Drosophila melanogaster: one gene and its partner. The protein of the gene in region 2 purifies or fractionates together with the protein of the main gene of each other region. This does not show direct contact. Each region holds a gene or a part of one and is shown on either strand. Other genes may lie near its edges.

What was found.
Region 1: the proteins of brwl (region 2) and CG5727 purify together in Drosophila melanogaster (affinity purification with mass spectrometry, with the first as the bait; one large-scale study listed by BioGRID). This does not show direct contact.

What each region holds. Positions count from the first base shown.
Region 1 is NT_033779.5:10,209,222-10,212,707, forward strand, and holds CG5727 (uncharacterized protein), read right to left. Parts: upstream 1,461-3,486; 5' UTR 1,383-1,460; coding exon 1,004-1,382; intron 947-1,003; coding exon 774-946; 3' UTR 632-773; downstream 1-631. Other genes in the region: ath (athos), read left to right, coding at 2,201-3,042, 3,106-3,181, 3,247-3,486.
Region 2 is NT_033779.5:9,567,107-9,570,863, reverse strand, and holds the start of brwl (brickwall), read right to left. Parts: upstream 1,975-3,757; 5' UTR 1,666-1,974; intron 594-1,665; exon of another isoform or gene 1-593.

The sequences.
Region 1 (3,486 bases), 640 kb from region 2:
CACGACATGGTGTTAGAAAAAATTACCAACAAACGTTAATCTTTAAAGCCAGGAAGCTACTTTCAATTAATAACTAAAATATAACACTTAAACAGTTAATTATGAAGTTTGGATCATTTAAATTAATGTACATTTACACACTATCTGGCAAATTTGACTTGTTGTGAATTTCATACGTACGTACACTTAAAAGAAAAAAATAAACTAGTTTGTGCACAGAAATGTGTGGTACATACCAATGATTTCTATTTGTATATTTGCAGCGCAATTAAGTAATAGCGTTTTTCGCATTGGAGCCGGTTTTTTGGTAGCCAATGGTAGCTTATGTGAGCTGCAGCTTAAATCCTTCAGTATTTAATTAAACTAAATTAAAAAATTTATTTAACTCCGATCGGTTATTAAACCAATATTTAGTGTGAACTTCAGTTTAAGACGCATCAATGCCATTTTAGCCACTTAGATGGAACTCGAAAAGTAAATATTATGTGGCGGTGGCAAATGGAGACATTAAGAACTAAGGCACATAAATACGTATGCAAATGTATATATATACACAAAACAACATAAAAACCAGTTTCTTTTTATGAGAGTAAAGTGCTTTTAGTACTTGAGATGCGAGGGTTGAAGTTGTATATGTGATAAAGTGCTCATTTATTGTGTTTCTACCTTTACAACAATGCATTATATACGAAATAAACAAAAAATATATCAGTTTTGCTTACATTTTATTAAAACTTATTTACTATATATCTGGAATTTGTATATTTATTTGGCTAATAACCATCGATGAGCTTGGCTATGTTTTTGTCTCTAATAAACTGGCATTTCTGTTCGAATTGCTGTAACGATTCTTCCATCCTAAAGAACTCCGAATTAATCATTTTATTGTTTTTACGGATCTGATTCAGGAATATATCCATGGGCGAAGTGTCTTCCTCTGAGTGTACTGCAAAATACATATTATATTATATTATATTAACAATATATGATATATTATACAAACCTTCCTGATTTTGCTGCACGATAGCTGGGGTTCCACTTGAAATGGTGGATAGATTGGAACGTCCGATTTTCTCGCCACTTTCTACGAACTCAGCGATGGCGTTGCGGAATTTCTCGGGTATCAGAAATAGTCGATCAACATTTCCCTTTTTGTAACACAGATAGGCGCTCTTCATTTGAAACCATTTTCTGCGTATTTGGGTGGGCGACTTGTTTGGAAAACCCCTTTTTTTCATCTGATTGGCGATTTGGATGAAGGTGTACTGGGTGGTGCTGGTGGACAGGGCTCCCTGGCAGTTGTTCACCTCCTTAATCAGGTCGAGCATGCACTCTATTTCGGCGGAGACCCAAAAGTTTCGTTTCAGTTTCTCGGACTTCATGGTCTTGACAATATTTCTAAAAACAAATGTTTTTCAATCTCAAGTTTGTTGTTCTACGAAAATAGTGTGACCGGATCAAGAGAACTTTAAAATATGCGAAACGATAGAACATAAACGAAATTCGCCGCTGAAAAGCTAAAAGAAAAATTTGAAAACCAAAAATTATGTATTATGAATTAACGTATGTTAAATTATTTAAATTAAGTTGAGAGTAAGAATAACTTTTAAGTGCAATTTCCATAGAATATTTTGTCCTTATTTTAGAGAACAAAATAAAGGCACTGGTTAATTGTTTGATATTCGAGATTCGGACGAAATGTTTAAAAGTGGCTCGATTTCAAATAAATATTTTTTGAATTGTTAGTCCTTACTATGCATATTTTGCATTTGTAAACGATGCAGAGAAGTACAAAATTTCCCAAATAAACAAAAAAAAAAACAAATGAATTGTGTAGGATAACATAGAAGTTAATCATGTGAATTAAATTTTCTATTTGTTTTAAAATATTTTATAAACTAAAAAGGGGATTTTAGTATATACTTACACATACCATTTTCGCTGACGCTGGCAACCCTGCTGTATTTCGCACGCCTGTTGCTTTTCTTCTTTCGTCTGAAACTTTTATAAAAAATTCTCCGGGCTGGGGAACTAAAACTCTTAGGAAAATAAGTGGCACTGGTAGGCACTAACGACTAAACAATAATTTTATCTAAAAAAAATATATCAATGTTTTAGTGTATTAATCGAAGACAAAACCTTAACTTGAATGTGCTTGTTGACTTTTCTTCCAAAGAAACGTGCTGCGAAAGTGTAAATAATGGACTCCAAATACTTTGCAACCAGCAGAAACGATGCTGTAGGTCCATCGCCTGTGAAGTTCTCCTTCAAGCGGAAGTACGATGCCATGGCGAACAGTCCCATACTGGAGAAGAAACCCCATGTGGCCCAAATCAAGCAGACAATAGCTCCCATTCTGCTGACCAGCAAAAGAACCTCCATTGAACAGCAGCAAAAATCACTGCCTGTCTTTAATTGCCGCCATCGAATCCTCAAGGAACTGGAAGCGAACGACACCGTGCTAATCATGAGCGAGACGGGCTCGGGCAAGACCACACAGATACCACAGTTCCTGCTGCTGGCTGGTTACGCCAAGAACGGAATGATCGGAATCACCCAGCCGCGCAGAGTGGCGGCCATAACAGTGGCACGTCGCGTGGCCCAGGAGTTGAACGGAACCATTGGCGACACGGTGGGCTATACGGTGCGTTTCGAGGATGTCACCTCAAGGGCCACAAAGATTCGATTCCTTACCGACGGCGTTTTGCTGCGCGAGTCCATTAAGGATCGACTACTGCTCAAATATTCTGTGATTATTCTGGACGAGGCTCACGAGCGAACCGTGAACGCAGACCTACTATTCGGGATAGTCAAAGATGCTCAAAAGGAGAGGCGTAAGCAAAAGTTGGCCAACCTAAAGGTAGTGGTTACATCTGCCACGATGGATATCGATCACTTCGGAAATTACTTTAATTGCAAGGGCATGTACCTGGAGGGACGGACGTATCCGGTCCGTGTGATGCACACCAAGGAGGAGCACGAAGATTACATCCACACCGTGCTGGTTACCCTCTTTCACATACACCGCACCACTCCGAAAAAGTAGGTCTGATGATATATATATTTACACTTACTGATTTATATATATGTGTACATTTATTACAGCCACGACGTGTTGATATTCCTAACCGGGCAAGAGGAAATCGAGTCATTGGCCCAACAAATACGCCAGCTTGCCAAGGTGAGTCCATCGTCGTACAGCCCACAGATTGCACATCATTAAAAATAAGTTGCTCGCTATTTCAGATTGACACGACTGGAACAACAGATCTCCGCGTATTCACGTTGTATGCTCAGCTATCGCAGGGCAAGCAATTGGAGTGTTTTGTGCCGACACCGGCCAACGTACGCAAAGTAATCTTGGCCACAAATATAGCAGAAACGTCGATCACCATACCGGGCATCCGTTGTGTGATTGACTGTGGCTTTGTGAAGGAGAAATCGTTCAATACCGTCGACGGACTGGATGTCTTAAAGTCAGTTCGA
Region 2 (3,757 bases):
CAACTTTGTTTACTTTTCATATTATTATAGCCACAGCAGCGACAATGGCAGCGGCCATAAAAATAACAGGCAATCTGGCTGTTTGTGCTGCTTGTTTGTGTTTTTGTTGCCGTTTGTTTCTGTTGCTGTTGCTGCTGGCGTCGAAAGCTGAAAGCTTTTGTCTGCTTCACTGATAACAGCAACAACAGCACAACTAAAGCAGCAGCAACAAAACAACAGTAACAACAACAACAGAATGCTTCAGCAACAACAGCAACACTCTGCTGCAGCAGCAGCAATTCAGTGCAGCAAGCAATGTTGTGTTGCAATATCCGAAAACATGTTGGCCAAAACCAAATCCGCTGAATAGTCACGAATATGTGTGCGAGTACCCACCGCACTCACTGCTCACTACTTGCAAACGATTCGCTCTCGCACCTGCGACTACCTGTTTCGATTCTAATCAGCCCACTCCACCTGTCCATTCACTCGACTGCCTACCCTTTTGCCGTCAGCCCCTTTCTATCGCGGCGACACTTGGGCCGCTCTTAAATCTCCGACAGTTTTCCCGCCACTTTCAGCACCTTTTGGGCCCACCAGTTTTGCAAAGCGAAAAACGTGCGCACAGTGGGATGGAAGTAATCGAAAAAGGGCATTACCAAAAGTATATCAAGGAAAAATATAATAACAATTTCCACATTGCTTGGAAACCTATTAGATGGTATTTTATATGTATATATATATTTTTTGGACATCTGTAAGTAAATCTCTGGAAAATCGTAGGTAATAATTCCCTTCAACTATTAATCTTAATATCAGGTTCAGAGTCCAATAAGTTTTCTATTTTTTCGGACATAAAAAAGTAGCAAGAGAAAACTCTAGCACTCTAAGCTGAACCAAACAAAAAATTAATATTGCTTTCCATTTTCGTAACACTTTGGTCCCACTGTGCGCTGGCAGCATTGTTGTGTTCTTTGGCCAGTCATCATTATTATCAGCGAACATCATTATCAAGGCGAACGTTGCTCGCGTGTTTTGGCTCTGCCCGTTGTTGTTTTTGTTAATGTTATTGTTGGATTGCTGTGTGCGGTGTGGGCGGGGGGAAAATGGAATGGAATGGGAATGGCGACTGGAAGGGGCAGAAAAACAACTAACCTGGGCTATATGGCAATATTTATTGTATTACGTCTATTTAACATAAACATATCAGCATGAGCGCGTACTAATTCCTTGAGAAATGTTCATGTTTATCTATTAACAACGGGGCTCAGCAAAAAGTACAGCAACGTACAAATCGAAAAACACAGAATCAGCAACAGCCAAACACAAAACCCAACGGAAAACAAAAACAACAACAAAAAAAAAGAATTTATTTCTAAAGCTAACAAAACACAGAAAACTTGCAGAAATACCCGGCCCGCTCTTTGTTTCCCTCCACCAACAAAAATACATACAGTATATTGTATATTCCGTGGCCCAATGACAGCAACAACAACAATCGCAATAACTTTGTTAGATAGACAACAACAACAACAACAATACACACAATACACACACACATTCACAGGCAATCGCACACAAGGAAACAATATGGCATATAGAATTTTTCTTTCTGCTGCTTATCAGGCTGTTATTGTTGCTGTTGTTCCTAACTTGTGATGTTGTTCCAAGCAAAGAATTCATTACCTTTTGGTTGGTATTCGTCGTTGGATTACAGAAAAACTCCTGTTGCAGAGGCGATTTCAAAACGCAACAACTCCTTGCTCGCAGCGATTTCAAAACGACACGATGCACGGCACACAAATAAAACGGCGCCAAAAATATTTTTGTTGCTGCTGCTGCTGCAGCGACCGACGACTGACGTAACGTTCAAAAATGTTGAATTCGAAAACTCGCGGTCGAGTCGACGGTGCACGGCGCTCGGGAATCGGCGGCGGACTGTTGGATTGTTGGCAATGTCGTATGTTTCGCGTACCAAGCGACCAAGGCGACTAAGCACACAGAGAAAAACACACAGACACAGCCACAAATGCGACTGCTGCCCTGCGAGAGCGAGCGGTGCACTGAGAGAAATAGAGTTGTCACTTGGCAATTGTGAAATGTAATATAAAGATGTTTTAAATTGGTAATGTATTATTAGCCCCAAACTTAATTAAAGGGAAAAATATAAAATTATTTGCAGACTTTATTAATGATCCATGTAAGCGGTATTAATTTAATAGTTATGAGGTTCAAACAAGTACCAATTAAACACGTATTCCCTCAGTGTATCAACCAGTATCTATCGGCTACGTAGAACACTGAAGCAACAGCAACAACATGACACGAGTGGACGGCGAGCAAACAGAGAACAACGCACACTCTCCGCCGCACACACACAGATACTAACACGGACACACACCAATGCGCCAATACAAACACACACAGCTGGCTGCTCAACAGCAGGGAACTTTTTATTGTTGTTGCTGGCAACGAACAACAAATAAGACAAACAATGCACACGCACACGAATGACGAGTGTTTTCGAGTCGGAGAAACGGCAACTGCGCGGTACGAAATGCAAAGATACAGATACAATGAGTTGGTTGTCGGTTGTGGAGGGTAGGAAAGGGACACAGGCCAACAAAAATAGTTGCACTGCATCAAGAGTGTTGCCTGTCGTTAGAGGCTAGTCACCCACCCCGAAAGGATCTCTCAAAGGATCAGCGGACTACTAGGTAATCCTGATCGAAATCGATTGATTCAAATGGATTTTCAAAAGATATATCATGTTCAAGATCTTTTTGTTGGGCAATACAATTTTTACATATGTATGTTGATTGTTATGTTGAATATAACTTCAGGCTTATTATTACTGTCTAATGGTAATGTTTCTATTTATTTCCACGTCCATTAACATGTATAATTGGTTTTCCCCAAAATATGTTAGTGAACAGGTGACAGTCGCAAATAGAAAATACACATTTTTTACGCTGTAACTCTGACAAAAAAAATAAAACACAGGAACCCAAATAGTTTACCTGAAAACTTACCTGCGAATTTCCAGTGATCATAATTCCATTGTGCGCTTCTTCTTCTTCTTTGCTCTAACTCTCAGGGAACATTGAAACAACAACAGTTGCTTACTCAGCACCGCACACAAACATAAACTGCGCTCTCACGGACACTACAACAGCTGTCGCTCTCAGAACCAACAACAAAGCGAGCAAACAAAAATCATGTTGTTGTTGCTCACAAAGCTTTGCAATTTCTCTGCCGCTAACATCGCTGCTTTTGTGTAGTTGTTGCTGCCGCCCGAGTTGCCAACAAGCTTTCCAACAACATTTGTTTACATTTCAAATTTATTAGGCGAGCTTTTCGGACATTTGAACAAGCTTCGTGGGCTACTCGCTAGGTGGCGCATGCTACTTCCGGTATAGATTTGAACAGCTATTTTTTTTAATTTACTTCAGAAATAAAATAAGCATTTATGCATATTTAAATATAAATAGATAAATATACCTGTTTCAGTTTCGTTAGAATGCACAATTTACTCTTGACTAAATGACTTCCGAGCAAACAAAATATTTAAACAATATTGTTAATAAAAAATAAGAAATGATTACTTAAGCTCTTACGTTTCCCTCCAACGGTCATTTGATATGTCATTATCCAAACACTCATATTGTTATTCACACGCGAAAAGCTCGACAAAGCTCAAAAGGACTCACTCCTTAGGCCAAAACTGTCAGGGTTTATGTATTCCGCCTGACAGCAGACCACCAACCCAGTTATTTCC